Linked DNA regions of Arabidopsis thaliana. The protein of the gene in region 1 interacts with the protein of each later gene in a pairwise test. Each region holds a gene or a part of one and is shown on either strand. Other genes may lie near its edges. The genes, in order: LACS8, BTI2 and AT1G73920.

Evidence for each region.
Region 2: the proteins of LACS8 (region 1) and BTI2 interact in a two-hybrid assay, tested with the Arabidopsis thaliana proteins (one large-scale study listed by BioGRID).
Region 3: the proteins of LACS8 (region 1) and AT1G73920 interact in a two-hybrid assay, tested with the Arabidopsis thaliana proteins (one large-scale study listed by BioGRID).

The regions. Positions count from the first base shown.
Region 1 is NC_003071.7:1,511,010-1,521,891, reverse strand, and holds LACS8 (AMP-dependent synthetase and ligase family protein), read right to left. Parts: upstream 6,259-10,882; 5' UTR 5,958-6,258; intron 5,818-5,957; 5' UTR 5,807-5,817; coding exon 5,291-5,806; intron 5,215-5,290; coding exon 5,134-5,214; intron 5,046-5,133; coding exon 4,773-5,045; intron 4,681-4,772; coding exon 4,549-4,680; intron 4,454-4,548; coding exon 4,280-4,453; intron 4,198-4,279; coding exon 3,968-4,197; intron 3,802-3,967; coding exon 3,684-3,801; intron 3,604-3,683; coding exon 3,472-3,603; intron 3,399-3,471; coding exon 3,264-3,398; intron 3,170-3,263; coding exon 2,963-3,169; intron 2,879-2,962; coding exon 2,714-2,878; 3' UTR 2,584-2,713; downstream 1-2,583. Other genes in the region: AT2G04360 (uncharacterized protein), read left to right, coding at 862-1,200, 1,275-1,420, 1,498-1,879, 1,946-2,028, 2,112-2,247; AT2G04340 (cytoplasmic dynein 2 light intermediate chain), read right to left, coding at 6,689-6,772, 6,870-7,058, 7,233-7,481. UniProt on the Arabidopsis thaliana protein: Activation of long-chain fatty acids for both synthesis of cellular lipids, and degradation via beta-oxidation. Preferentially uses palmitate, palmitoleate, oleate and linoleate.
Region 2 is NC_003075.7:6,834,270-6,843,798, reverse strand, and holds BTI2 (VIRB2-interacting protein 2), read left to right. Parts: upstream 1-3,762; 5' UTR 3,763-4,220; coding exon 4,221-4,473; intron 4,474-4,794; coding exon 4,795-4,975; intron 4,976-5,064; coding exon 5,065-5,206; intron 5,207-5,296; coding exon 5,297-5,366; intron 5,367-5,453; coding exon 5,454-5,623; 3' UTR 5,624-5,888; downstream 5,889-9,529. Other genes in the region: AT4G11230 (Riboflavin synthase-like superfamily protein), read left to right, coding at 312-719, 811-1,197, 1,285-1,380, 1,485-1,600, 1,730-1,897, 1,971-2,130, 2,213-2,422, 2,514-2,642 and 2 more; AT4G11211 (uncharacterized protein), read right to left, coding at 7,460-7,525.
Region 3 is NC_003070.9:27,785,443-27,797,088, forward strand, and holds AT1G73920 (alpha/beta-Hydrolases superfamily protein), read left to right. Parts: upstream 1-5,294; 5' UTR 5,295-5,751; coding exon 5,752-5,792; intron 5,793-6,153; exon of another isoform or gene 6,154-6,158; coding exon 6,159-6,332; intron 6,333-6,416; coding exon 6,417-6,813; intron 6,814-6,911; coding exon 6,912-7,210; intron 7,211-7,304; coding exon 7,305-7,373; intron 7,374-7,472; coding exon 7,473-7,529; intron 7,530-7,954; coding exon 7,955-8,007; intron 8,008-8,097; coding exon 8,098-8,173; intron 8,174-8,307; coding exon 8,308-9,256; 3' UTR 9,257-9,486; downstream 9,487-11,646. Other genes in the region: UGT89B1 (UDP-glucosyl transferase 89B1), read left to right, coding at 1-1,122; AT1G73885 (AT-rich interactive domain protein), read left to right, coding at 1,422-1,545, 1,641-1,882, 1,975-2,140, 2,220-2,266; AT1G73890 (Bifunctional inhibitor/lipid-transfer protein/seed storage 2S albumin superfamily protein), read right to left, coding at 2,461-2,606, 2,694-2,792, 2,880-3,216; ARP4A (actin-related proteins 4A), read left to right, coding at 3,851-3,863, 4,000-4,091, 4,221-4,367, 4,455-4,528, 4,681-4,858; AT1G73930 (polarity axis stabilization protein), read right to left, coding at 9,905-10,066, 10,311-10,503, 10,576-11,646.

The DNA.
Region 1 (10,882 bases):
CGATACGACAAAACTTTAACAAATTTCAAGACACACTTTCAATTAAGTTTCAACAAAAAATCTTCTTAGTGCATTAAGTCGATATTGTAAAGAGCTCATTATTCATCGTAGTTATTTTGAAGAAGTAAACATTCAAATTTTTGTTTCTCCCTTGCTTGAATCTTAATCATATCGCATATGTTGACAATTTTTCATTTCGTTATATAGAATGGTGGACTATAATAAGGGAAAAGAAGAGGCCCCTTGTTTCAAAATCTAACTAGACTCAAGCTCTTAAAGTTAAGAGCTCACCAGTCACTGGTTCTTCAGATATTACTTGCTACATTATATCAATTTCTTATGCTCAAAAATGTTCACTTCTGATTGCTGAGTAGATGAAATATTTTAGTTTGAGATCTTTTAAATAATTTTTAGATCAATTTAAATAACTTACAAATTTGAAAGAACTATGGAAGAACTATTCATAATTATGCTAAAACAATAATCAAAATATGATTTATAATATCAACATTTCAATAATGGTCTGACTTATCCTATTATTAATATGCTACAGGATATGTTATGTTGCCATGTAATATGTTTTCAAGTTTTAAAAAAAATCATGGAAAATAACTTAATCTACCAACCAAAATATTATTCATATTACTATCTTTAAGATAATTATTTTTTTACTAATCTATAAGCTGGGCATAATGTCCGAATCCGAGCATCCGATCCGAATCCGAAACCAAAATCTCAAAATATCCGAATCGGTTTCTATACTTTCAAACCCGAAAAATCGGTATCCGATCCGAACCGAACCAATAAATGCGTTCAATTCCAACCAAGGTCAACTAGATTGGAGGAAGAGAAGAAGAAAAAATGTTGGGAAGCATAAGCCTCATCTCCTGCAACTTCTCTCGCCTTCCACGTCTTCTTAAACCCTCCACTCGACCTCAAACCCTAACACAATCCTCAAGCCTCCTTCTTCTTCTTCAATCACGAGCTTCTTCTTCACCACATAGAATTGCCCTTTTCCCGAAATACGAGAAGAAAGTCACATTCTTCCATATCTGCAAAAGCTCTTCAAACAACCCAGAAGAACCAGAGAAGACTCAAATTCAAGATGAAGGAAGAGACTGGTCTAGCTCAATTTTGCTTTTTGCGCTTTGGGGTGCGCTCTTGTACTATTGCTTCAATCTCGCTCCTGATCAAACACCCGTACGCAATCTTCAAATACTTCATAAAGTTACGATTTTGCAATCATAATATAATCTTAGGTTTTTGTATTGCAGACACAAGACTTGTACTTTTTGAAAAAGCTTTTGAATTTGAAAGGTGATGATGGTTTTAGAATGAATCAGATCCTTGTTGGGTTATGGTACATCATGGGTTTGTGGCCTTTGGTTTATGCCATGCTCTTGCTTCCCACTGGTACAAGGTACCATCCATAGTTTGTTCAAGTGAAGCTCTTTTAGGAACTTCAAACACTAACTAATAGAGCTCTTTGTTGGACAGTAAAACACCGGCTTGGCCTTTCGTTGTGCTTTCCTTTTTCGGTGGTGTTTATGCTTTGTTACCTTATTTTGCACTGTGGAATCCTCCTTCTCCTCCTGTTTCAGAGACTGAGCTGAGACAATGGCCTTTGAATGTTCTGGAATCAAAAGTAACTGCTGGGGTAAGAGATTATCTCTCTCACTCTCACTCTTTTGAAATCTTGATTTGTTATCACTGGACTTACAAGTTAAAGAAAATTGTCTCTTGCCTTTTGGTCTTTGGTTGTTGTTGGATTATGAATCAGGTCACTCTAGTTGCAGGACTGGGTATAATTCTTTATTCAGTTGTCGGTAATGCCGGTGATTGGACGGAGTTTTATCAGTACTTTCGAGAGAGCAAATTTGTAAGCCTCATTTCCCTGGAAATGTTTTCGTATCTGTCCTCATATTTGACCTAAACTAAAATGCAGATTCATGTTACAAGTCTTGATTTCTGTTTACTCTCTGCATTTGCTCCGTTTTGGGTTTACAACGACATGACCACCCGAAAATGGTGAGTTCTATGTACAACTAGTTTGCGGTGTTTACTCACTCAAACCTTTTTCTGTTTCTCTAAACGCACTGCTTCTTTATCAGGTTTGATAAAGGCAGTTGGCTGTTACCGGTATCGGTGATTCCATTCTTGGGACCTTCTTTGTATCTACTCCTACGACCAGCAGTGTCAGAGACGATAGCTCCCAAAGATACTGCATCATCTGACCCAAATCAATAGCAACATCAACTTTCTCTTTTGCTCGATGACAAGACTATTGTCCAGAAGCCCCAGGAAGATTTCACAGGACCGACCATCATATTTCTGATGCATGAATGCTGATGATAACATTATGAACATGATAAACCACCAACGTCACAAACGTATTCTAGAATACAAAACCTAATTCCGGATCATAAGGAGGATTTCATTTGTACCTTTTGTTTTCAGAGGATTTCATATGGTTAATAAAGCAGAGAAGTTTTACCTAAAGGAGTTTTTCGATCCGCGTCTACTTTTCGAATACTTCAGCTCCTTGTATACCACAATGATTTACTCTCTTCTATAGGCTATAGCTGATGGAAGTGGAATCATATAGGTATTGAATTAACAAAAGGAGAAAAACTTCAAGTTTATTGTAGATATAACAAAATGTGGAAAGTCAGACTGAAATATATGGAGTTTGTCACAAGTCCAAGAAAAGTTTTTAGGCATATAACTTGCTGAGTTCATCTTTGAACTTGGACTTTATTTGTTCTCTCTTTATCTTAAGAGCAGCAGTGACCAATCCCGACTCCGGTGTCCACGGCTCTGACAGCAACTTGATCTTTGCTGGAAGCTCAAACTTTTCGAGCTTTGCCGCCTTCCCGGCCTGAAATGATAATAATATTTTGTAATACATATACTTACCAAACGTAATTGTGAAAAACCTGAGACAGCTATTGAAAATACAAACCTTGGTAAGAGATTGTTGAACCTCCTTGACTGCTTCACCTTTCTCGCATAGCTCAGCGAATTCGCTGTGTTTAACTCCAGCTTCCTCTGCCCATTTCTCTAATGCTCCTCGTGATGGAACAACAAGAGCTACACAGTAGCTGTTAATTGGGTCTGCGTGGACCATGATGTTATCAACGTAATTGCTCGAACCCAAAGCTGCCTCCACCTGTGAATTGTGTGATCCAGGCAATGAAAGAGCATGATGAGATTTTATCATATACCACCATCCTCTATGTAGAATTTAAGTTCTATAGGCAAACCTTTCCAAGGGATACGTATTCCCCATGTTGAAGTTTAACAATATCTTTCTTTCTATCGATGACTTCGAGACATCCATCAGGGTGGAATCTCCCAATATCTCCGGTGTAAAACCACCTTGTGCCCTTCTCATCGACCTGAAATCGTCACATGGATTCTCAGAAATCTATATAGCAAGCGGATCAACTAAGCTCCCTGAATGTGCTTTACCTTGTAAACCTCATCGGTTTTTTCTTGATTGTTGAAGTAACCTGCTGTTACACTGTTACCACCTACCACAATCTCCCCTCTAGGCATTGGTTTATCTGAAATTCTGTAGCCACCTTCTTCCCAAGAAACGAGCTGCAAGATGAAATTTGTTACTCATGATTACAATAAACTTGCACATTGTCAACATGGTGTGTTAAAGATTGTCTGCAAACCTTAACGTAGCCGCATGGAAGTGGAGGTCCAACACGACCAACAGCAGGATCGTCCCACTCAGAAAACGTAGCTCCAGCACACGTTTCAGTCAATCCATATCCTTGGCCGATGGGAGACCTAACAGAAAATAATGCACAATCATAATCAGAACAAACTAATCCCAAGCATTGTGAATTTGCAAAGAAGAATACAGATAAACACAAACCAGGCACCAAAATGGTGTTTGTCTAAGCCAAAATGGGACAAGACTCATATGAAAATATCAGATGTGAGACTACATTACCCCATGCAGATATTGATGAAGCGTTGCGAATCAGGAGACAGAGGAGCTCCTCCAACGAGCATAAAACGGATGTGTCCTCCAAGCACAGCGCGTATTTTCTTGAAGACAAGAGCATCCCATAACATTTTCTCCAAACCCCAGGCACCAAACCAACTTCCATCCACAGCTGCTAACCGGCGCTTGTATGCAAAGTCAAAAAGGGTCTTCGCCATCCCTCCCTTTTCCTCAACCTAGATTATTACATACACAAATTGAAGTATCTAGTAAGTAACTCCAACAATACACACAACATTGTCGTCTCTAAGATGGTACCTTTTTAAGAACTCCTTCTCGGACACGATCCAGAATAGCTGGAACTGCAGTCATTATAGTTGGCTTCAGAGCTGAAACATCTCCTTTGGTTCCTTTCTTAACTTTATTTGAAGTGTCAGTTAAAGTCATTGCTGAGCCGTAACCGATGGCACTACCTGAGGTAAAGACCACAATCTGAAAAACCATGATTTGGCAAGAAACAGTAAGAAAATAAGTTAGCAGTTAAAATGAGAGAGACATAGAGAGGGAGAGAGAGTACAGCAACATACCTCAGCTTCCAGCTCAAACACATGAGCCAAAGGTAAGTACGCAATATATGTATCATTTTTATCCAACTTTGGAACCACCTTCATAACTCCTGCAGCAGTTGCGACAAGATTTCCGTGGGTAATCATAACTCCCTGAGTGAATGCACACAATGTAAGGTACACCAATCAAGAATTCAGGTGAACAAAACACATAAAGAAAAGAGAAGACACAGTGCAACACATACCTTTGGTAGACCAGTACTACCACTGGTAAACATTATAACAGCAACTCCATTCTTCGAAGGTAAGATCGGTTGAACAGCGTTCTTCTGCCCAAGTTTCTCAACTTCAGAGATCGACGAAACAGTTATATCACCCATACTATTGACATCACTAGAAGCAACATCTACTCCATCTTCTTCAATGTAAATAATGTTCTTCACAGTTTTCAAGCTTGATTGTATCGCAGACAACTTCTTAAGTTGTTTTGAGTCACATATTAAGGTTGACACTCGAGTCTGTCAACAATACACAAGCAAGATTCAGAGATCCAACAACCAAATTTACTAATAAAAAACATACACATTCAAAACTTCCCCTACCAACCTCATTGAGTGAGTAAATCAAAGCCTCTTCTCCTAAAGAAGCATAAATAGTAACAACGGTTATGCTCTGCCTGAAACATCCCTGGAAATTTACAACACCAACCATTTCATCAGACAAATTCAAGCCAAACCAACAAAACAATAGTTGATAAACAAACCTGAAACGCGATAAACCACTCAGCACGAGTATCCGAAAAGATAGCAACACGATCATCAACATTATGTCCTACATTAACTAACCCCGACGCAAAGTTACAAACACGTTCAAAAACCTCTCCATAACTTTGCCATTTATACTCTCCTAAATGAAGCTTCTCAAACTTCCTCCCATCACTAGCAGTAATAAATTCCTTATCTATAAACTCTCTAGTTCCTAGTAACCGATCTTTCGAATACTTCTTACAAGACTGCTCAAACAAAGCAGGCATAGTAGCAGCTCCTTCCCAAGGTACATCAACCAATTCAGGAGCTCGAGCATGACGCATTGTGTAACCTTCCTCGCCACCTACTTTGATGGGAACACCTCTCTTTTTCCCCTTTTTGGTTCCATTCAACACCACAGAGAGTAACACAGGCACAAGTAAAGCCACGATTCCACCTCCTATGATTCCATAGACTCCAAAGTCACTGCCTTTAGATGGTGAATCCATTGGATTCACTCCAGAATCTTCCATAAGCGCGAAAGCTACACAAAGGAAAGGAACAATAACACTAATCACAGTGATCCGATGATCGATCAAGCAAATTCAAAATCGGTAGATCACAACAGAATCCAAAGAAGCTAAGGCATCGAGAAAAAAGAAACGTTTTTTGGAATTGGGTTACCTACGAATAGATTGAGAAATCAGTGAAAGGAAACTTCTTGATGATTTCTTCGAATCGGGTTCCAGAGAAAAACGTAAAGTTTAAACCTTTTCGATGCTTTGAAGTTGTGAACAATCCGAAGCTTGTGGACTCTGTCCTTTTTCGGGAAGCCTTTGGTTAAGGAATGTTTCGTCGGTACGGTAATGGACACGTGGGAGATGGCTAATGGAGGGACACGTGGATGCTTCTCCGTTTGGCTTTTTCTTGCCACGTTTACCTGAAATTCCGGAGACGCTACTTCGTTGAAGTTCTAAAGATTCTCCAATTGAATATTGTGAAAAGTAAAAACGCTGATTTTTCAATTCAGAAGCCACCAGAAACGTCTTTTTTCAAAACGCTATATTTCACTCAGTTTAAAAAAGCGGTTCCAATTTTGCGATTTTAAATATTAAAACGTTACACCCATAACCGAGTCCGAGTTATCAATCAAACCCTTTATAAGCATTTTGATGAAATGTGTGAGTCAAACACATATGAATACACAAAGCAGTTCCAAAACAAAGTAAGAATATTCATATCTCCATTTCAAAGATTTCTCCGTTACAAGACAGCTTCTGTTCCTTCTCTCAACTGTCCTAAATGATGCCTATGTTCGCTTAGGAGATGACCGAGAGTGTTCTTGAGTACCAAATTCTCAAGATATATATATGTCTATTAACTAGGAAGCTCCAATTGAATTGAGGAAAGAAAATCTAACTGGAACCACGGCGAACACTTTCTTCGGTTCGTTCAAGAGCATTTGTTAGCACGTCTATTGTCCAGTTTTTCAAGTCATCCTGATTAAAAAGGAAACAAGCAAAAGGTTTGGTCATCGAGTGACGATATGATTTGGTAAGATACTGCAAGGATTGGTGATTTAATAGAGCGGTTTACCTTGCGCACAGGTTCTCCAGTTCTTATTTGTGCATTTGGGCGAGCAAGCTTTGACTCAAAAGGTGTTCTTGGCCTTACTTCTCTAAACTCATCCCACTCCTCACGATCGATCATTCGTACCGTGCCTTGCCCCTGTGGTGCATTCTTTATCTTGCGTTCAATCATTTCTTGCGATTTCGAATCATCGATCTAACAACAAACCAATACTGAGAATCAGCAATTTCCACAGATCCTTCCTAATTCAATTGCACAAAAAAGTATAAAGCAATCTAACAGCTCAATTACGAAACAACTTCTACTTAACAGCTGCTAAAGTCACTGACAAGAAAGACGCATTCAAAGAGATGACAGAGGAAGGCTTACCATCATTAGCACCTTTGCAAATAATGCGATACCTACAACAGCGAGGAACATAGGCATCGTTGCTGTGTCTAAATATGATCTTGATTCTGGAACCTCAACTAGAAACTGGTTCTTTATTGGGTTCCTTCGCTTCTTACTCTTTTGCAAATCGGCTATCTTCTTTCTTAAGGTCTCCGTTGGGGCATCATTAGACGGTGAATGAAACCTTCTCCTAAGCAATGTAAATAACTGACTCTGTCGAGACATCATAACCAGAAACAGGGATCTTCTTTCTATGCCAAAGATAAAGAAAAACACAGTTTAGCCAAACTGGAACCATAAGCCCTACTCCAACACAAGCATCAAGCAGAAATTAACTTTTAATGGACAGTTTTGCATATAAAGTTCAATCACAGAAAGTAAAATGCGACAGATTTAAGCTCATGTGGAAAAGTCTCTCTTTTTCTTTTACCAGAAGCCCTATTACAAGAACACACCTATCCTGGACATGGTGGAGACTATACCTCTCTCTCTCATAATGTCCTCAACAAAAACACTTCAGAGATCATCACAGAAGCTTCACCACATAGACCGCAAGTCCTAAGTTCCTTGATAATCCTAATAAGAAGCTGACCATACTAAAACTAAATCGATATGCAAACCAAATTGCAACTTACTTACTGTGCTATACTTAGAATCTGCTAATGCGCTATGCAACAAGAATTTATTGACATGCCCAAATTTTCAAGAAATAATTCTATAGGCATACTATATGTAAAAATAATAATCTGATCTGGAATGTCAAGTAACTTTCGTTGCGGCATTTTTACGAACACTTTGTATGCAGCTTTTACTCAACATGAGACATATGAAAGATTCGACATTTTTGCAACAAGGGACAAAGAGATATCGAGATGGGTACTGAAAAAACTTGGCTTTGAACTAGAAAGATCATTCTTTAAGCAAATCAATGACCAAATCAGAATAATTTTGTTCGATGATTGAAACTCTAAGGGAAGAGATGAAAATGGGTTAAAGAGATGAGGAGATTGCAGATGTAAACGTACCAGATCAAGAGGGGACTGAGTAGACAAAAGAGACTGTTTTGATCTCCACGGTCTTCCAAAATCGAAAAATCGTCTGGCAGTCCTTTTTGCAAAGAGGAAGCCAAAAAATCATTGTAAAAAACAGAAATAATTTATTTATTTTTTCTTAATTCGAAATAGATGGATATTACTAGTATATCCTTATCCGAACCTATTAATTACCAGAAAAATCATGGTTCGTTTCCGAACCAAACCACCCGAACCACTTTTACTCTTTATTTGAAAATCAAATAAAAAAAACCTTAATATTTCCAGGGATTTTCCAATTCGAAATTGTTTCTTGTTCTCATTACAACCGTTTTCGATTTTTTGACTTCTTCTCCTTAGTAACCGCTGAAATTAACCACAACATTCCCTATTTCTTTAAATTCAATCGAGCGTTCTTCTTGCTTTCACCAGTATTTCCGTTCTATTTCCGATTCGAAATCAGTCATGCCGCCTAAGACGCGTGGAGGAGGTCAAGGGAAAAGAAAGGAGATAGAAGCGCCGGCGCCGACGAAGACAGAGAAAGTTAAGGCGCCGGCGGAGAAAGTGAAGGAGAAGGTGCCGGCGAAGAAAGCGAAGGTTCAGGCGCCGGCGAAGAAAGAGAAGGTTCAGGCGCCGGCGAAGAAAGCGAAGGTTCAGGCGCCGGCGAAGACGACTGCGACGGCACAAACGATTGCGACGGCGATGGCAACCAATGCGGCTCCAACGACAGCGGCTCTAACGACAACGGCTCCAACGACGGCTCCAACGACGGAGAGCCCGATGCTTGATGATTCTACGTTTTATGATGCTCTGAAGCATATTCCGGCTGAAGAAACTCAAGAGAATATGCAAACTGATGAGGTGGAAGATGAAAATGAAAAAGAAGAAGGAAGTGAAGAAGAATAATCAGGGAGTAGTAGCCAAACCTTGGGCTCCGATTCCGATTCAGAGGAGACGGAGACAAACAAAGAACTCGCGTGTGCTAATCCCGTGGAAGAGGCGGAGAGACAAGATGACGGCCTAGCCGTTATCGAGGAGGAGGAGGAGAGGAGCTCCGCGAGCGACGAGGACGTCAATGTGGAAAAGTCCGTGGAGGATGAGGGAGACGAGGACGAGAGAGACGAGGACGTGATAGTGGAAAAACCCGTGGAGGAGAGGACCATAGACGAGGACATCGCAAATGTGGTAAGTATTCCATTTCGTAATACCGATCTAATTGGGTAATAATGCAATTGTGAACTGTGGACAGTACTAGTAACATTGGGAAATGCTATGTTGATATTTAGGTAATATTGGCGGATGTGGGTAATACCTTAGAGTAATACTACAATTGTGATTTATCAGTAGTTAGTACTAGTAACTTTGAGAAATACTATATAGTAAAATAGGAGTATCTGTGTTATACTGGTAATTACGGGGAATACTTGTAGGAAATACAGAGTAATAATGTGGCAGTACTATTTACAATTGAGTGAAATATGAACAGTAGGATTTGTGTAATACTGGTAATTACGGGGAATACTTTTTGGAAATACAGAGTAATAATGTGGCAGTACTATTTACAATTGAGTGATATATGAATAGTACGATTTGTGTAATACTGGTAATTTCGGGGAATACTTTTTGGAAATACAGAGTAATAATGTGGCATACTATTTACAATTGAGTGATATATGAATGAATGTTTGTTTCTTTCAGGATATGGAGGAAGCGATGGCAATGCAGCCACTTGGTATGTACTTCCCGGCGTCGGAGTATACCAAGAAGATGAAGTTAGCAACGAGGTGTTATATCTCGGAGGTGTTGAAGACCTTCGCTGACTTGGAACATCCTCTAACGAATGTTGAAAATAATTATTTTATGGAGCATCCGAGTTTCAAGCACATCTATCACCTACCTTCCGGATATACCCACAAGTTAATGAGGATGTGGATGCTTTTTCTTCGAACGACATCTATTGAGAAGAAGAAGGAGGTTTGGTTCGTTGTTAATGGAGTTCCCATCCGCTATGGTATTAGGGAGCATGCTTTGATCTCTGGTTTCAACTGCAAGGCCTATCCAGCTAATTATTAGAGTGCTGGTAATATGAACTTCGCCAACAGGTACTTCAAAACCGGGGTAATTAGACGTGAAGACGTAAAAACCAAGCTAATGGAGATGGAACCGGCTAGATCAAAGGATAGGTTGCGGATGGCGGTCCTCTATTTTCTAACAAGCAGCATTGTCGTGCCTACTAAGACTGGAGAAAGGGCTAGTCCAATTGATGATTTCTGTGTTAGGGCTGCAAGTGATCTTACGTTTTGTAAGACATTTCCATGGGGGAGATATTCATTTGAGTACATGTTAAAATCGATCTCACACACATTGGATCATTTTAACGGTGTCGTCCCAAACATTCAGTCACCATGGCCTGTTCCCGGATTCTGTGTGCCGCTTGAGGTAAGTCTTTTGTTTTATCCTTGTTACATTTTCGTAATTGAAGCTAACAATTAAATTTCATGTGTTTTGTGTAGTTTTTAGCATTTGAGGCCATTCCATCACTTAGGGAAAGATTCATAGAAGAAAAAGAGGGTGCACATGCCGGTTGTCCAAGGATGT
Region 2 (9,529 bases), on another chromosome or scaffold:
AAAACCAATGAGCTTAAAGTTATGTGCTATGCAAGTTTGTTTTTGTATGGAATTAATATAATAAAAGGTTGACGAAGACAAAAATGTAGAGGTCCACATATAGAGCTTGAACAAATATTGTTATCAAAAATAATCTCTAGTGGTGTAGTGGCGTTTAAGTGTATGATTAAGAATTTAGATAATCTTACTGTGATTAGTAACAAATATTGTTTGAGAGACTGCCCACTTGCTTGAGACTGAGACAAGATAGGTAGTAGAACTCTGTCAACATTCTAATATGTTGTCTTTGTTATGGATTTGAAATGATGCAGTTAAAGGACCTAGAGATACTGCTACTAGAGAAGGACATATCTCATAGTTACAGCCTACCGTTCAGCCAGACGAGCCGAGCCTTAAGCCAGAACCTAAAGGATAGAAGATGGAGAATGAGCAGAAACTTGCTTTACTCTTTGCAAGATAATTGGAAGAGGATTTGGGTTTTGACATTGTGGTTTGTGATCATGGCCTGGTTATTTATGTGGAAATGCTATCAGTACAAACACAAAGACGCATTCCATGTAATGGGTTACTGCCTTGTCATGGCAAAAGGCGCAGCTGAGACACTGAAATTCAACATGGCTCTTATTCTTTTGCCGGTCTGTAGAAATACCATCACCTATCTCAGATCCACCGCTTTGTCCCACTCAGTGCCTTTCGATGACTGCATTAATTTTCACAAGGTTAATCATAAACCATTTTTTGTCTTGCCTTTCATAAGAAAGATACTATGCTTCAGCTGAATCCGACTTTCCGGTTTTTGCTTAAACGCAGACGATCTCTGTAGCAATCATTAGTGCAATGCTTCTTCATGCAACCAGCCACCTCGCCTGTGACTTCCCAAGGATTCTAGCATCTACTGATACAGATTACAAAAGATACTTGGTTAAGTACTTTGGTGTGACCAGACCCACATACTTTGGTTTGGTGAATACTCCTGTGGGAATCACTGGAATTATAATGGTTGCTTTTATGTTAATTGCATTCACATTAGCCAGTAGAAGATGCAGGCGGAACTTAACTAAGTTGCCGAAGCCATTTGACAAACTAACCGGATATAATGCCTTCTGGTATTCACATCACTTACTTCTAACTGTTTACGTCCTTTTAGTCATCCACGGTGTTTCCCTCTATCTCGAGCATAAATGGTACCGCAAAACGGTACATTCCATAAACTCTTTACCATTTTACTTTTTGCATGCTTACATAATTGGCTGTGGTAACAATAACATATACTGCATCCTACAGGTATGGATGTATCTTGCTGTACCAGTTTTACTCTATGTTGGTGAGAGGATCTTTAGATTTTTCCGTTCCAGGCTTTACACAGTCGAAATCTGTAAGGTAAAATCTCACTTACAGTTACATTTTGAACTGAATTACATGAAAAGACACATTGTCAATCATCTACTATTATCTCTATACCAACTCAAATGATTTGGTTTCAGGTTGTAATTTATCCCGGAAACGTTGTTGTGCTACGCATGTCTAAGCCTACATCATTTGATTACAAGAGTGGACAATATGTATTTGTTCAGTGTCCATCAGTATCAAAATTTGAGTGGTGAGTGTTTTATAGGGAACCAAAACAAGCCTAATAGCTTTCCTTGCAATCCTAGAACATATACAAACTCTGTTCTTTGACACCACAAAGACTAACTTAAAGATTCTCGGTCCTAAACTCCATCTCCAGGCATCCATTTTCTATTACTTCTTCCCCTGGAGATGATTATCTCAGCATTCACATTCGTCAGCGCGGTGATTGGACAGAAGGGATTAAGAAGGCATTCTCAGTGGTATGTCATGCCCCTGAAGCTGGAAAAAGCGGACTTCTCAGAGCAGATGTACCAAACCAAAGAAGGTGCATAAAATTCTTTAAAATTCAATATATTATTCTCAGAATGTGAATTTTGATACTCTCTCTTGTAATATAGTTTTCCAGAGCTGTTGATAGATGGACCTTATGGCGCTCCAGCGCAAGACCATTGGAAGTATGATGTGGTATTACTGGTTGGCCTTGGAATCGGCGCAACACCTTTCGTTAGCATTTTGAGAGATCTACTCAATAACATTATTAAGCAACAGGAACAAGCTGTGAGTATAACAAGCTTAAAAACCTTGTTGATGAGTAACAGAATCTCAACTAAACTTTTTTGGAGTTATGTTATATTCTCAGGAATGCATCTCAGGTAGTTGTAGTAACAGCAACATCTCGTCGGATCACAGTTTCAGTTGCTTAAACTCAGAAGCTGCGAGTCGGATTCCGCAAACTCAACGGAAGACGCTGAATACCAAGAATGCTTACTTTTACTGGGTAACACGAGAACAAGGCTCGTTCGATTGGTTCAAAGAAATCATGAACGAGATTGCTGATTCAGATAGAAAGGTAAAAACAATACACTTATTCATTTTAAATTCAAAAGATTGTATGATTTCAAGTTACTCACTGACGTATTTGTCTTGTGAACAACTACAAGGGTGTTATTGAGATGCACAACTACTTGACTAGCGTCTACGAAGAAGGAGATACTCGATCCAATCTTCTCACTATGATCCAAACGTTAAACCATGCCAAAAATGGCGTCGACATTTTTTCAGGAACCAAGGTAATGATCTTTAATGATTAGTTGATTACTTTATCACAAACAACACTCTTTTCTGATCTTGTATAACAACTTTTGGTTATTTTAGGTAAGGACACATTTTGGGAGGCCAAAATGGAAGAAAGTTTTATCAAAGATTAGCACCAAACATAGGAACGCAAGAATTGGTAACACACAGAAACATCAGTTCACTGAAATGATATTCGATATCGCGGTGTATATTTGCCTTGTCTGAAGAATGTTTTTTTGTTTGTTACAGGAGTGTTCTATTGTGGAGTTCCAAGTTTGGGGAAGGAACTTTCAACACTCTGCCATGAATTTAACCAGACGGGAATTACCAGGTTCGATTTCCACAAAGAACAGTTCTAACTGGTAAAAGGATTAATCCCCCACGATTATGGTTTTTTGAATGAATGAATCAATGTTCATGTTCGTTCTCGTATCCTACTTGTTGTGTTTTCTTTTCGTTTTGTGTATCACAAATACCAACTTTTAACCATTTCATCTAGAGTAGGACTGTTAAAAAATGTAAAAAGTCACAGTTAAAGCTTGTGAAGAAAAAAAGAGTGTAAAGGAGTAAAAATGAGAAATTCAAACAAAGGGGGATGATGGGATCATTGGGATGATTGGTTCTGTCTGTTCAATTGTTTTCAAATTTGAGCACTTATTATTGGGCCTGTCTTTGAGCTCTCTTATTATTATGGGCCGATAACTAGTTTGGCCCATTTGGTTATCAACTTGAAAATGAATGAAGAAAGCTGGGGAAAAGGGTCTTTTTAAACCCGAACTGACTCAAAAGCCTCAAAAATTTCACTGTTCCTTGGTTCTTGACCGGTTTAGAATCATGGTTTCGGTTTTGAATCATATTTGCTTTCTTGGACATGAGAAAGTAACTGGGCTTCATCATTGTTTTAGCTCATTGGGCCCATATTACGACTCGAGCTAACGCTGTCAAGTTAAATGCTTTTTCACTTTCTAGAGCATTCTTTTTTAAACACTTCTTTTAACCAAGAGACGGTTCCTACTTCTCTAATATTTTTATTTTCTAGTTTTTTGGCCAGCAGCAAAATATTATTTTAATTTAGTGTCAAGATAATTAAATTATCATTGTCTTTTGAATGCAGACCGAAAGTACATGAGTCACATAAGCAAGCGGCTACGATTCAACCACGTGTCACATGACCACCGGTTCGACCGTTTCTTTGTCCAGCCGCGTGACACCTGAACCAGAAAAGTTTAATAGCCATTTTAATAACAGAGCCGTTAATTACACGTGACTTAAAAAGCCGTTATCCTTAACAGCGTTAACATCTCGGTCCTGTGAAAACACTTTTTATATGTCCCCACGACATTTATCTTTTCCTAAGCATCGCTCTAGTTAAGGAAGCAGCAGGTTTGGATCCGAACCAACCAACGGATCAGATCAGAAACAAAATATTCAACGGCTCAGATTTATTCTAATTTTCCTCCTTTTATTGTTGGTTTTTTCATTCGACTTCGAGATCTTTCTTCTCAGAGGTGTAACGAAAACGCTAGAACAATAACTTTGATCGTTCTTCTTCTTCTCTTGAATCGGAAACAATGGCGGATGAACATAAGCATGAAGAATCTTCACCTAATTTGGATCCAGCAGTGGAGGTTGTAGAGAGGGAATCGTTGATGGAGAAGTTATCGGAGAAGATCCATCACAAAGGTGATTCGTCGTCTTCATCATCATCAGATGACGAAAACGAGAAGAAGTCTTCGTCATCGTCTCCAAAGTCTTTGAAATCGAAGGTTTATCGTTTGTTCGGAAGAGAGAGACCTGTTCATAAGGTTCTCGGCGGCGGAAAACGTATGTTTACTCTGATCCCGTTTCGATATTTGTTCTCAGTTTTTTAAAACGAATTCGTTTGCGTTGGCTTGATCTGTTTGATTTTCTCACTAGTTTAAGGGATCCGTGAAGAAGATCGTTTGAATCTACATAGAGGTTTACATTGATTTGAATTCGATTTCGATTTTGATTTCTGACTAGTTTGAGAGAATTTGTGATGGAATTGATTTTTTTTTTTTTGGAAATGTGTATAATGATCTTGTGAGATTCTTGTAGTTATTGATGATATGGTTCTTATTTCGTGATTGATAAACCCTAATTTGGTGATCTTTTTAATTGCAGCGGCAGATATATTTATGTGGAAGGACAAGAAAATGTCAGGAGGTGTATTTGGCGGTGCTACAGTGGCATGGGTGCTATTTGAATTGATGGAGTATCATCTTCTTACTCTGTTATGTCACGTTATGATCGTTGCTCTTGCTGTGTTGTTTCTATGGTCTAATGCCACTATGTTCATTCACAAGTAAGTTTTGTGGTCAATCATATGAAACAGGTCAAGGTTGTCAAGCTTATTTGACTCATCTTCGTTACCAAATTTTCATTCTCTTTCAGGTCTCCACCAAAGATTCCTGAAGTTCATATCCCTGAAGAACCTCTTCTTCAGCTTGCTTCGGGTCTTAGAATCGAAATCAACCGTGGGATCTCTTCTCTTCGTGAGATTGCGTCGGGGAGGGATATCAAGAAGTTCCTCTCTGTATGTTTAAACTGTCCTGGACTTACTCGTTACTCCTCTCTCGATGTCTCACTTAAGTTTGACACTTATTGTACTGTTTGATTGAATTAGGCTATTGCCGGATTGTGGGTTCTATCGATCTTGGGCGGCTGCTATAGTTTCTTGACATTGGCATACATAGGTAACACTTACTGTTGCTAAAAGTATTTTGCTTCTGCCTTCTCTCTTATTCTGACATTGCTGATGAACGGTTATTGATTTGGTCCAGCTCTGGTTCTGCTCTTCACTGTTCCTCTTTTCTACGACAAGTACGAAGACAAAGTAGACTCATACGGTGAGAAAGCAATGGCTGAGTTGAAGAAGCAATACGCTGTGTTGGACGCAAAGGTATTCAGCAAAATCCCAAGAGGACCGTTGAAAGACAAGAAGAAGGATTAGTTTTTTTTGGGGTTTTTGTTTTGTGTGGGTTTTCTTTGGAGTGCAATGTGCACAATGCTCTGGTTTTTATACACGTGGGTTGTGTTGTGTTGTGAATTGGTAATCTAAAAGGTTATGTGTTAGATCTCAACCCAAATTTTACTTGACAACTTTGCTTTGTTTTTGGAGTGGTTTGTGGCATTAGCACAATGATTGTAGTCGTTCTCTTGATCTATATTTTTAATGTACTGATTGATTTCTGTGTTTCTAATATGGTACGTTACTCAAATATCGTTTTTTCTCGATTATATATTTGTAGTATGTCTTGATATCAAACAAGTCAGGATGGCCGAGTGGTCTAAGGCGCCAGACTCAAGTTCTGGTCCTCGTAAGAGGGCGTGGGTTCAAACCCCACTTCTGACAATTTAGATTTTTATTTTCTCTGAGCTCATTTTTTAAGTGTTTGTTACTTTATTTGTCCAAAAAATAAAAATATAACATGTTTGTATATTTACTGGTTATATATATGTAATAAGTATGAATATTAACAAATGTCAGTATGGCCGAGTGGTCTAAGGCGCCAGACTTAAGTTCTGGTCCTCTTACGAGGGCGTGGGTTCAAACCCCACTGCTGACAATTTATATTTTTGTTAATTTTAAATTATAATTACCTTCTTTTTTCTTTCCTTTATACTATGTTTTCTCATTTAACCATGTTTTTGTTTTTTCTTAAACGGTCTTATGTTTCTCAGGTAACAATCAGCTAAATAAGTAACTAGTTAAAAGTTAAAACGCTTAAGATCAATTTGTATCAAATGGTGAATCCTGAAACATAATAATATAATGGGTTCCACTTCTTATCTTTCAACAAAATAATTGTGACAACAGGATCATTTCACAAACTTGTCATAATTGTTTTGGTTCAACACATGTTCTCATTAATGGTTTTTCTTTTTTTTTTTCTTAAACAAAAGAATGGCCATATCATATGTTCCCGGAATCAGATAACTATTATTATTGCATAAATGAACCATCTATGAATTATATAATTTAGTCTATAAAAATCATTTTGATTTGTATAACTATTACTGAGATAATGAGATTTACTGATGCTTAAACATTTGTGAATAGAAAATAAGTAACTTTAGCTTGGCCTTATTCTTTTCACAGTCGCATGGACTGCAACACAAAATTAAAAGCCAAAGACTCATTAAATTAGGATTGATGACCCATCAACTTTCCCTACTTCATAAAAAAAGCTTGGAGGGCTATCACTGTTATTTGCGGTGTCTCCGATATTATTAGACTTGAGTAAGAACGACAAAAGATGAAAGAAAAGAAGAACATAAGATTAAGGAGAAGTAAAAGCTTCTTCTTCTTTTTTTTGTCTCCACTTGTTGTCACTGCGACTTTGCGCCAAACAAACAACGCTTCTTTTTTTGGTTACCTAACTTTCTTTTCTGGCTATGTTGTTGTTAGGTTTAGGTAAATTAAATCGTGAATCAAAATTAAATTACGCAAACACAAGTCACCAACACCAACACACATGACAATAATTAAAACATGCACAAATATAAAAGTTTATTCGTTAAATTTAACAATACCAAAAAGAATGAGCTAAAAATCTATTATATTTAATTTGCTTTTTGTTTCTTAATTTTTATATATGGCAATCATCACATTCATGAATTAAATTCCATAAACAAACACAATCAAATTGATAAACAACAACATGAATGACAAAAAGAAAAACAAAAACCTAGATAGTAGAGAAGGAGCCGATATAAGACCTTGGTAGGTTCGAAGAGGATCGAGCCCATCCGCCGTTCCATGACTTGCCGGTTCAACCCCACCGCTTTAACCGGAACGGTTTAAGAAATCATCATAATCAAGGCCGGTTAAATGAGTGCAGGGAGTGAACATTGTTGTATTTCTAAGCTATATGGTGAAACCCTTTGGTGCACCTAGAAGCTTCCATGGAAGCTCAGCGCAAGCTCCCCAAATTTGGATTCAACCTTATAGAGCTAATGAGTTTGATTCATATTTAGGGAGATATTGATGAAGCTTCCATGGCTAAAAATGGGGAGAGAGGGAGTTTGTCTTTCTACTTCTTGACTTTATATATAGCATTGTTTTTTTTCTTAATTATTTTGATGGTGGAAGAGAAAGAATCTGACACTAAAATATATTTACTTCAATGCCATTCGTTAATAAAGAAATTTACATAAAATAACTAAAGGATCTTTTTTTTATAACTTTTAAGGTCTTCTTGGTTATAACATTAGTTGATTAAGACAATAACATTAGTTGATCTTTGACTCTAATAACGGATCTTCGTTGATATATTAATATATCATTGTCTAATACTCTAATACATACGGTAAAAATTCTGAATTCATGAATAAATCATATTAAAAGTTTTCTGATCAAGAATTCTGAATCTCAAATCCATATCAGAACTTAAGCATGTTTTCTTTGTCACCTTCTTTTGGCAACTCGACTTATAGTACCCCTGAATAGATTGCCACCAATTATGCTCCACGCACTCTACATTCGACTGCTCCGGTTACAATCATTGGAGGGTAATACACAAATAATATTAAAACACTTTTGATTTACTAAATGAATATTTACAATTACTGATCTAGAGTGCAAGACCAATCAAAGGTCTAGAGTGCGTGCGAGGGACCCCAAGTCCACGACCAATCTCTTTAATTTTGCTGCCGCTTTGTCTATTTTCAATTGGCCATTCCTCTTTTTAATTAATTTTATATTCAAAAAATTGAATATTTCCACGAAATCCTTACTCTATGTCCACCAACCAAGTCACACATGATTTATAGAGAACATGTAAAAAGCATAAAGTAATGTTACTATTAGTTATTTTACAAAAACAAAAAGTTAGTTATTTTTTAATTTAATGTTAAATTATATTTAAAAATATATCATATTACATATCTAAAAATAGGGGGTTTTACGGACCAATCCAAATTGATAACGAATTTAAACGTATTTTGTATGTAAATTGGCGGATCAGTCCACGGATTACAAAAATTTAATAAAAATAAATAAATAATATATATAAAGCTTTTTGCTGATGGTCCTAGCAGACTGGCCATCGCAGTCTATTAGAAACTAATACTATTGCGGACCAATGCGTTTGACACCTCTAGACATATGTATATGGACCAAAATATGTTTTACTGTAAGAAAGCATAAGACCATGAGCCGATTCCTCTTTTATATTTTAGTCCACAAAATCATATCATGTTCATTGGCAAGGAGAATGTCCATCCAATATCCTATTTTTGAAAAATGTTTCCCATTTTATGAAACTAAATGACAAGGTTTTCTTGTAAGTCTACTAAAAACATTGAAATGGGGTTTCTCCCTCGTCTTGTGTTTTAGCGGCGCCGGCATTTAAGCAGCATCCTCGCGATTTTTGTGTGACGTAAAAGCTGATTTCTTAATTTTTTTTTTATTTTGAGTTTTGTATACGTCGTTTGTGCGATTTTTGTTTGCTCTATTTCTGTATTACGTCTTTAGTTTATGTTCGGTTTCGTTTGAATTTTTTTGTGTGGTTTTTTCTTTCGTTGTTATTTTCGTGGACTATGTTCTTTAGGTTTCCCTTATGTTTATCAATTGATTATTTGTTTATTTGTGATAGAAACATCGCAAGTCATTTTTATTTAACCACTACAAAAAAAAATGATTATGTACTAACCTGATGAAATCAAATTATCATTTTTATTTATAGCTTGTCTTTAAATGTTCATAAGCTACATTATTATTCTTATGGGAATTTATATATTACAATTCGTTGCTTTTTATTCTTATGGAATTTATATATTACAATTCGTTGCTTTGTGTTCTTACTCTTATCAATTTATCATGGTATTATAGTTTTCATAAAAATCATATGGAATT
Region 3 (11,646 bases), on another chromosome or scaffold:
CACGCGCTTGGTAATCTCCACGCGCCGCTTATCTCTTGGATTACTTCTCACCCTTCTCCTCCAGTAGCCATCGTATCTGATTTCTTCCTTGGTTGGACCAAAAACCTCGGAATCCCTCGTTTCGATTTCTCTCCCTCCGCTGCTATCACTTGCTGCATACTCAATACTCTCTGGATCGAAATGCCCACCAAGATCAACGAAGATGACGATAACGAGATCCTCCACTTTCCCAAGATCCCGAATTGTCCAAAATACCGTTTTGATCAGATCTCCTCTCTTTACAGAAGTTACGTTCACGGAGATCCAGCTTGGGAGTTCATAAGAGACTCCTTTAGAGATAACGTGGCGAGTTGGGGACTCGTCGTGAACTCGTTCACCGCCATGGAAGGTGTTTATCTCGAACATCTTAAGCGAGAGATGGGCCATGATCGTGTATGGGCTGTAGGCCCAATTATTCCGTTATCTGGGGATAACCGTGGTGGCCCGACTTCTGTTTCTGTTGATCACGTGATGTCGTGGCTTGACGCACGTGAGGATAACCACGTGGTGTACGTGTGCTTTGGAAGTCAAGTAGTTTTGACTAAAGAGCAGACTCTTGCACTCGCCTCTGGGCTTGAGAAAAGCGGCGTCCATTTCATATGGGCCGTAAAGGAGCCCGTTGAGAAAGACTCAACACGTGGCAACATCCTGGACGGTTTCGACGATCGCGTGGCTGGGAGAGGTCTGGTGATCAGAGGATGGGCTCCACAAGTAGCTGTGCTACGTCACCGAGCCGTTGGCGCGTTTTTAACGCACTGTGGTTGGAACTCTGTGGTGGAGGCGGTTGTCGCCGGCGTTTTGATGCTGACGTGGCCGATGAGAGCTGACCAGTACACTGACGCGTCTCTGGTGGTTGATGAGTTGAAAGTAGGTGTGCGTGCTTGCGAAGGACCTGACACGGTGCCTGACCCGGACGAGTTAGCTCGAGTTTTCGCTGATTCCGTGACCGGAAATCAAACGGAGAGGATCAAAGCCGTGGAGCTGAGGAAAGCAGCGTTGGATGCGATTCAAGAACGTGGGAGCTCAGTGAATGATTTAGATGGATTTATCCAACATGTCGTTAGTTTAGGACTAAACAAATGATTTGATTTAGTCAAACAAAATTCTAATTATGGTTTTTTTTTCCTTAATACAGTATGTTCCTCACGAACTAAAAAAATATGCATGAGTGTATTTTATTAAATTGTTGTAAGATGATAAATAAGTGTTTGTGATTGTGATTCATAAATAAGTGTTTGTGATTTTTGTTAAACAAATCGGGTCAATTTGGTCGGGTCGGGTCATATCGGGTCAAGTTTAATAATACCCGAATGTTTTGTTTTCCTTATCTTCTTCGAATCTGGCTTCGCTTCCCTCTCTCACATATCCACACAACAAAGGAAATGGCTCTCACCGTGAGCAGCGGTGGCGGAGGAGCTAGAATCCGCTGCAACGACCTCACCGATTCTTCTCGTAACCCTTTCTCCACCTTCCGACTCGTAAACTTCCCTAATCCATCAAGAACCGGTCTTCACGTTGTCTCTGCCGCCAAAAAACCTTCCACACAGACCGGTCGTTTCGACAGCAAGAAGCGTCGGACTCTCGTTCCTACAACGACTAAGAACAGCAGGAAGAGGGAAACGAAGGTTTTGACGGCGAGAACCCGCCGTCTCAGATCGTTATCAACGACGAAGATGGAGATAGAACGGTGGTGAATACTCGATTCAGAGGTGATCCGAAAGATGCGCCGAAATTTGCCATTAAGGATCTTCCTGGACTTGAACCAGATCCTTTTGAAGGTGAGAAGTGGGATGGTCTAGGTTTCTTCGTTCAGTACTTGTGGGCTTTCGGAATCCTTTTCGCGGTAAATTTCTGTACTTTTCAGTTGCTTTATAACAATTCTCCAATTTTGAAGTTAAACCAATCAATTCACTATGGTTCAAAATGTTGTAACAGCTAATCTCTGGTGGACTTGCGGCGGGGACGTATAACGAAGGTGCGACGGATTTCAAGGAGACGCCAGTATATAAAGAGGCGATTCAATCTCGTGACCTTCTTGATGAAGCAGAGAGTTCAAACTCTGAAGATGTGTTTGAGTCCAACCCAACAGAAGTGGCTCCTAGTTTGGAATAGTTTCAGTTCAGTGTTTAGAGAAAGAATTTAAAGACTGAAACTTTTTGCTATTGGGGTGTTTTAAAAAGCCATATTCCAAGTTGATCTTGAGCTTGTTGTGTTCATAATGTTATAGATTCAAAGTTAAAAGAAGAGTATTGTTCTTCATTGTTCTGTTTTCCGATTTCATTTCTGAACTGCAAACTTCTTTAGGAATCATTCCAATAATCTCTTCTTTTATAAATGTAAGGTAAAGTTATAAAGTTGATCTTGATTCATTGAGAAAACACAAAACAGAAGAGACCGAGATGGTAGTTAATGCAGAAAGACTCAGATGAGGAGGAGAGCGGCGGGTAAGATCGCTGCGAGTGCAAAGATGGTTAGCTGAATCTCAGACTTGGAGCCAGAGGATTTCAAACCATAACCTAATCCCATAAAACTGGTGGGTCTTGGTGCCATTTGAGCCACTGGAGTAGCTGATAAAGTGAAAAGTAACACTATGTTAACTGTTTCCATGTTTTGGTTTTAGCAGATACTGAAAACTTTGGTAAAAAGTGGTTTACCAGCGACACGAGAGTTGTTCTTTGCACCTTGAGAGATTTGAGAACCAGTTGAGCTTGAAGGTGGTGGAGCAACAGAGGAGGAATCACTAGGCGCCTCTCCTATATACCGAAAACATTCTCGTAAGTTCCAAGAAACCAATTTGATCTCACAGAGGAGAGGACAAAGTAGAAGTGTTGTTTACGTACCAGGGAAGGAGGAGGAGCAAGTGGATGAATTGGCTGGAATGTTGCAAAGCGGAGGCAATTGTAGAGCAAGAGTTTGATTAATTGGAAAAGCAGGGGACAAAGTAGAGGTGTTGTTGAGGAAGAGACAGAGACAGGTTGCTTCTTGGCTATAGATCTGGTTTAAGCTGTCACAACATGGCTGAGCCGGAAGTTGGGCAAAGCCTTGAACGAATGGACCACATGGAGCTAAGGAAAGCAGTCTGGAGGCACATGTAGCTGGTACTTGAGCGAGAACCATTCGGAGAAAGAATGCTGATAAGGAGATTAAAAGAGTGATGAGAAGAGTAGAAGAAGCCATTTTTTTCCTAGGAGACTAAGTTTCTTTCTTCTTTGTTTGTGGGAGAGTAAGGGGATTCTGAGTATTTAAGGTTGGAATCAATTGGTTTGGTGTGTGTGACTATGGACATGAATTGTTATTGCACACATGATGTGTGTTTATTTGTTGCAACACTTGAGTTCTTCATGCTCGTTTCTTATTTGGTGTTTTTGAGTTCATTCGTAAATTGTGCTTCTTGTTGACCACAAGAAAACAAGAATGTTACCGGAATCTCGTTAACAAATTTTTAGAATTTGAAATAGTTAACCAATTGAAATACCAAATTTAGAAAACTTGAGCAACAAAGTCGTTGTAGTATAGTGGTAAGTATTCCCGCCTGTCACGCGGGTGACCCGGGTTCGATCCCCGGCAACGGCGTATTTTTAATTTTTTCATATTTGTTTTTATTTTAGTCCCTTTGTTTTCAGTTTCTTTAGTTTTAGTCCCTCATATTTCAGGTTTGTTTGTTTTAGTCCTTCTCTTCTTTATATTCAACTTCCCAATCCGAGACAAAGTGAAATCACTTAAATAGTTTACTTTCCGGTTCCGTTCTTAAACCTTCCGACGAAGCTCCGGTAGAGAAAACCTCTCTTCACCTCTCCCATTCTCGGCAGCCATGTACGGTGGAGGTAGGTTTTATTTTCGTCCTCTCTAAAATCTCTCTCTGATTGTACAAATTCAGCATTACTTCTTTCCCTTTTCGCTTGAGCTCGTCTCGTAAAGGTGTAAACTTTTCCTTGGTGGGGTTTCTTATATATTGAACAGACGAAGTGTCAGCTATCGTAGTAGACTTAGGTTCTCACACTTGCAAAGCTGGTTACGCCGGAGAAGATGCCCCTAAAGCTGTTTTCCCTTCCGTAAGTCTCATTCTTTACTTCCTCTCTTTTCAATTGGTTAAAGTTAGGTCCTTTTAGTGTAGAGCAAGCAATTCGAGAAATTTAGGTTTTTTGTTGTTGCTGTTGTTGATGTGTTATATAACTTATAAGGTTGTTGGAGCGATAGATGGAAATGGAATGGATATTGATGATGCTGCAAACACCACGGAGGATGCAAAGGAGTCTGATAAAGAAAAAGGCAAAAGGAAGCTTTACACAGGATCTCAAGCTTTGAACTTTCGCCGCGATCAAATGGAGGTCAGTTTTCTTTATTAAACTTCAAAATGGTTAGGGATGAAGATAAATTTTCAGGTCTCTCTATTAGTTGACATTTGTCTGTTCCAGATATTGTCACCTACAAAGGATGGCATTGTAACTGATTGGGATATGGTGGACAATGTATGGGATCATGCTTTTAGGTAATTTGCAGAATCTGTTAGTTTTTGTCTTTAACTGTTTAATCTTTATCTTTTCCATTTATAGTTGATTGATGATTTCATCTGTGTAAATGTTTATTATTCAAGGAATTGTCTAATGATTGATCCCACGGAGCACCCAATGCTACTTGCAGAGCCTCCTCTGAACTCACAGCAGCAGAGAGAAAAGTCTGGTTTCTCTACCTTTTATCGATGCTGAGTTCATCTTGGATTAGGAACAGATTATTCTGGTGGAACATCATCAATGCAGTAATTGAAAGAACGCCTCGAGAAAGACTTGGTAGAAGTAAGGTAGTATACTGGCATCGTTAGGCTCATTCCAGCAAATGTGGTTCTCCAAGTCTGAGTAAGTAACACATTGGATTGCTCTCTAGATCTCGACTCACGTATAAACAGTGTCTTCTCATCGCTAGGGTTTGAGTCTTTTTGTGTACATGACAGGTATGCAGAGCATGGAGCTTCTTACATCCAGAGGAAATGCCCTTAAAAGCTGCTTGAGATCAAGATAACGAGAACCTTTGGAGACAGTCAGAGGGTTTAGGGATTAAGTAATTAGTATCTTTTCATTTATTTAGGCAAATATTAAACACTTTTTTATTATTATTATGAAGCTTTAGAAATAGCTTCGTATAATATAATGTTTCAACGTTAACATACAACAAATGTACTATTTTTCTAAGTGAAAACAACCACAAATGTACTTGTGTGTTTGCCTGTTTGGTAAATCCACCTTCTCCGTTATCCAAAAGTCGAATTTACGTGTCGTAGTTTTTGTCACATTCGTCATTATCCAATAACACATGTCCACGTGTCACCATTTTCTGGTCTCTGGACGGCAAGAATCGCCGACGTGCCCCTATTTAATCGGATTCTCCCATTTTTATTTTATTTTCGTCAGATTCTCTCCAATTTTGTTTTTTCTTTTTAGATTTTTGATTCTCGAATCGCGGCTCCTGTGGGTCTCTGTGTTTTCCTTATTTTGAGTTCGGATTAAATCTCGATCGCGATTTGGTCCAATATCTCCTAGCATCGAGAGATTTCTATTCTGGCTAAATTTTGTGTTTTCTCAGGTGGATAAGAAATTTTCTCTTTGTCGTTTTCCTCGATAATTTTCGGATTACGGCGACGAATCAGATTGTTTTTTGGTTTCAAATTTTCTGATATTTCCAAAAAAACAAAAAAATCTGATTTTTGAGAAAAAAGCAATGCAACGGATCGTGGACAACGCTCTCGCTGTAACCAAAGAGTGAGTCTTTTTTCTTATCGATCATCAGTGGATTCATCTGTGTATGCGCCTATAGTTGTTCTAATGTTTCATAAATGACAAGTAGAGATTTTTAAGTTTTTGATCGTTTGGTGATTATAGTAAGTCTCTTTGTTAATTAGTATTGGTAGATTGTGTTTTTGAGTTTTGTTAGACCATTTTATTCTAGTATCTTCATTCAAAGCTTCGTCTTTTAGAGTTGATGTTGGCTATGAACTTTGAGTCGGTGAAATGACTATTTCTTTTTTTTTGGTTCGTCTTTTTGTTAGATGTTCTTCTTTTCCCTTATGTTGTCTAACAAGCTTAAACTAAATAAGCTTTTTGATTATGTTTTGGCTTTTAGTGCAGATCAGTAAAAACTGTTACATATGAGTCTTTGAATAACATTGCGAGGTGCATAAATGGAGTATCAGCTCTTCTGTTGACCCTTCTCCCAGGGAAGGCTAATATTCTTGAAGGCTTACATGGCTGGGAACTCAGGCCTACGTTTCGTGGACCACGTTTACCACGGTGGATGCATAAGTAATAATTTCTCATGATTCTTCTGTTGTTAGTTTATTTGCAAGCCTTCAAAATATGCTAATTTTACTCTGTTTTTGATGGCAGTGGGGTCTCTTCTTTCAATGAGTTCATTCATGAGCTTTCTGTTGATTCTGATACTTCAAGCTTGGAGTATTCTTCTGGAGAAGATAGTGATGGTCCTTTGCCTCCATCACCATCATCTCAAAGCTCACGCCTCTCTTGGGCTAGCACTTCTGCAAGTTCTGAAAACCACTGGACAGAGTGGATTACGTTCATTCTTTGGTGGTTAATGTTTCCTGTACGGATCTTGCTATGGATACCACAATATATTATAAGTTTATTCTATAAACGAAGTTCAAGAATTCCTGCGAGCCCGAGAAGGCACCAACATTCATCTAGACCTCGTATTAGCAAGACCAACTCAAGCAAAGACCATGATGTTCCCAACCGAACTACTGATAGAAGACGTGGGGTTATTGAGGTTTGTGGATGCACGAACAAATATTCAATGTTACAATCATTTTTGTGATTTTAAACCTTTTGACAAACTCGTCCTACTTAATGTGCTTTATTTTTCAGGATCTTCATCTTGCTATCGAGATCGGCATAGAAGCAATATTTGATTTTTTTCACAAGGCTACGCATCTTCTTCTTTCTCCATCAGAAGCTTTTGCAATATTGTTATCATGGTTCTCATCTTCCAGTCGCAGCCCTAAAGAAAACCATGGTGAGGTTGCTTATGATGAAACTGTGCAGACTGCTACTTTAGGAGATACAGATCCATCCCCCACGGAAAGGCCCGTTGAAAGTCCCACACGTTTATACAACTCTATGAACACTGATACTCGAACGTGTCAAGATGTCATAACAGAGTTGGGGTAAAGGGGCAGATTCGATGTCTCATGCTTCCATTTTTTTTTTCTCTTTCTCAAGTAGTTGATATTTACTTGATTTCTCTCCTACTCTTGGTAGGTATCCTTACGAAGCTATTCGTGTTATTACATCTGACGGATATGTTCTTGTCTTGGAAAGGATACCAAGGTATAACTTTCTTGTTAGATATTAAGCTCGCTTGTGCATGCTTTCCATTCCTGTTACATTGTCTCTTAATGTGATCGTTGACTACTCTTGTCTTTGCAGACGTGATGCAAGGAAAGCTGTTTTTTTGCAGCATGGGGTTTTGGATTCTTCAATGGGGTAAGTTTCATGGTCTAGTTCTTAGATGACTCGTAAACTTTGGAAACTTAGTAAGCTGAAAAGTTGAGGAAGTATTATTTTCTATATCCATGTAGCATAACATTCCTAGGCGTTTCAATGTTCCTGACTCTTTACCCAAAAAAAAATTATTTTCATAATTTGTTCCCTTCAACTTTGCGTGTGTGTTTGATTTGCTCAAGACACAAAAATGGATTTGGGAAAATCTTTTGGTGCGATTAGGAGGGATACTGCTTTCAGTTACTTTAGTTATCTCATCTTCTTTTTTCCCTTTCCTTCTCTCCGATCCTTCTTAAAGATTTAGTTTTGACTTGGAACATCCTATAATCCTCTGATGTTTTGATCTAATATATGTCCTATGAAACATTATTGATTACTCTTTTTCTCTACTGCGTGTTTTTCTTCAGATGGGTATCTAATGGGGTTGTTGGATCTCCGGCTTTTGCTGCGTATGACCAAGGTTCAAGCCTCAAGTTTTTCATTTTCCAATCTTTTATTAATTCACATACGGCAACGATTTATCAGCTTCTTACACTCTTTTCCTTTACAGGCTATGATGTTTTTCTGGGTAACTTTCGGGGTTTAGTTTCAAGAGATCATGTGAACAAGAACATATCCTCAAAAGAGTGAGTTATTGCTTTAAAGTTCACTTCTTACTTAATCTACATGCACTGTCTGGTTTCTTTATGATAGTGGAGTTTCATCATATGTATATATTTGCAAGTTGTACAAATGTTCATTGTTATTGACCAAAATGCAGGTTCTGGCGATACTCCATTAACGAGCACGGTACTGAAGATATCCCAGCGATGATAGAAAAAATTCATGAAATAAAAACTACAGAACTCAAGCTCTGCCAGCCCAATATCGATGAAGAAATCAACCAGGAGGAGCCTTATAAGCTCTGTGCCATCTGTCACAGTCTAGGCGGTGCTGCAATTCTGATGTATGTTATTACTCGAAAAATCAAGGAGAAGCCACACAGACTCTCACGACTAATCCTACTTTCACCTGCTGGGTTTCATGAGGACTCGAACTTAGGTTTCACAATAGTTGAGTACATATTCCTTTTCATTAGTCCAGTTTTGGCTCGCATCGTGCCTGCCTTCTACATACCGACAAGATTCTTCAGAATGCTTCTGAACAAGTTAGCCCGTGACTTTCACAACTATCCTGCTCTTGGTGGATTGGTCCAAACTCTAATGAGTTATGTAGTTGGTGGAGACAGCTCGAATTGGGTCGGAGTCTTAGGATTGCCTCACTACAACATGAACGACATGCCAGCTGTCTCCTTCCGTGTGGCGCAACATCTTGCTCAGATCAAACACACCGGTAAATTCAGGATGTATGATTATGGAAGCAGATCAGCTAACATGGAGGTTTATGGCTCTCCTGAACCGCTTGATCTAGGGGAGTCTTACAAGTTCATCGATGTGCCTGTGGATTTAGTAGCGGGAAGGAACGACAAGGTGATCCGTTCCTCTATGGTGAAGAAACACTACAATGTGATGAGAGATGCCGAGGTCGATGTATCGTTTAATGAGTTTGAGTATGCTCACCTTGATTTCACATTCTCTCACCGTGAAGAGCTTTTGAGATATGTGATGTCGCGGCTTCTGCTTGTGAAACAGACACCAGTTCAACAGAGGCAGACCAGTCAGAAAGGTATGAAGTTGAAGAAGAAGAAAAAGGAGGGTACAGTAGTGTAGTAGCTGAAACCGATCTATGGCCAATGTTCAATGCCTCGTAGAGTTTGGTGTCTTTGTATTGTGATGTTGTGTGTAAGCTTCATGTGTGTGTTCTATGCCAGTATCCTATGGCTTGGCTATAATAGTGTACATATACCGTAAAGATTGATCCCTTGATGAAATGATCTTGTTGTGAGAGATGCTTTTTTCAGCCGTATGGTATATAATAATGTTTCTAGTGGTTTGGTTTCCATGAAAATGATATGATGTCATGAAAGATGCTATGAATCCAGAAAATTCCTCCTTTCCATTGGAAGATCTGAAGAGACCAATTAATCATATAGTTGGCGAATCTTTGCATACTTTGACATAGAACTTCTGTAGGTCATACAGTTTATTCATTTGTCGTAATAATATAAATCATAGTTACAGTTACATGTTTAATGGATCCAAGAAGGATAAATTTATCTGGTTATAGAGTTAAAAATACAGCAGTGATCAGTGATTTCGGTGTTGTGTGATTCTCATGTTTCAAAAGAAAAAACGAGTAAACAATTAGGGAAGATGAAGAATTTTTCTCTTTTTTCTTTGGTACAGTTCAAAGAATGAAACAGAAAAGGGAAGAAAAGAAATCAGAATCCTCATGGACGCCGTAGTGAAGAAGAGCATTCATTGGAGCTCTGATGGATCTTGAAGAAGAGATGCTCTTTGTGGATTTAAAAGCAGAAGTTGCTGCATGTCCTTTGGAAGCACACTGAACACCGCTTGTAGATCCTTCTTCAGTTTCTGAAACGTTCCTTCTGAATCTGCACCTCCTCCTGATTCCAGCGACTGCAAAATATATGTTTTCGATATGTCATAATGGTTCCAAATCTGCTGAAGAGAGAACTAGTTTATGTTTATCATTACGTATTCTACCTAACTATGCAGATATGTACATCGCTAACAAAATAAAATCTATCTTTACATCTCTCAGGCATGTAAGTAATGTTTACATGGGAGTGTCCAAAGAAAAGAATCTAGCACAGAAGTAACATGAACATGAAATTAAGAGTCTAAAGGAAGGTAAACTTACCTTGACTTCCTCACTAATGTGTTTCTCAATGGCATTGAAGGAATCCACAGCTTCCAATTCATTCATCTGAGACGTAATCTGCCTCATATCAGTCTTCATTCTAGCTAGCCTCCATAATCTACGCTGTTCTTGTTCAGCAACAGCTCGCCGTCTTTGGAACCAAGGCGAAAAGTTGGGTCCTCGTAGAAACCGCCTGAAATATAATGAACTGTTTAGCAAGGGAACTAAATATTGGTAGCCCAGAATGAGACAATATTGTTTATACCTATACAAGTCGGGCCAGTTAGATTTCATCCGTTTAGACAAAAACTTCCCTACACCTCTCCCAGATAAATTTGAAAGGAATTCATCAGCACCAAATGATGGGAGCGCAGGAGGGGTAACATATGGGGAAGACCCATCTGAAGGAGCATTGACCTGGAAATATGGACCAAAAGGGGCCAAGAAATTTGTAGTTAATTCCAGGAAATGGCGTCGCAGAATCTCATTATTCACAACTGACATCGACTCCTCAACCCTTGGCGACATCCCAGCATCAATAAGTCTATTCAAAATCGAAGTGTCTGGCTTGGTTACTGCAGAGTAGGTGGTCCAGACAGCTTCCTTGTGTTCTGTCATGAGACACAGAGGTCCATCTCGCCTAAGTTTTACAGCATTGAGCAAATTTGTAGGAGAGAACCTTCTTAATGAAAGCTGTTGGACGCCTAATCCTTCAGGTTTAACAGATAATTTACCAGCCGACCTACTTGTAAAGGCTACACGGTTTGAGTTTGGAGCAGGGGTTCCAACTGAGACAACATGAGGGATGTTACGAAGAGCTTTAAGGAAAAAGATATTGGTGACACCCAAAACCATTGGCGGGAAAGTGTCTCCTTCTCGGAGTGAGTTTAGTCGAGCGAATCCTGGATCATGTATAGTGAAATATGGTCTAAAGTCGACACTACAAAATAGCGGCGCAACCAAACTCACAAGACAAGCAACTGCCTCAGAACATTGCGGAGGTGTTGGTGCTATGATAAGGATGGGCTCGCCTATGAGTAACAATTCCCATAATGTCCATAGCTGCAACAATAGTCCCCGGTAAATGCCAAAAAGATCTGCGTCATGGAAAAGACCTTGAGGAACAGACTGATTTGTAGGGAGTAATGGAGCCATGGAAGAAGCAGATTCCTCATATAAAATCCCATTTTCCAAGGGAAGGCTATGAGCAGGCGGCAAGTTCACCTTAAGCATTGCATTACCAATAGGCAGCTCCATTAGCTTACCAGGCACAGGAGCAGGCCACATAGAGACATAACCAGCAATATGTTCAATAGCCTTATTTCCAACATCAAAA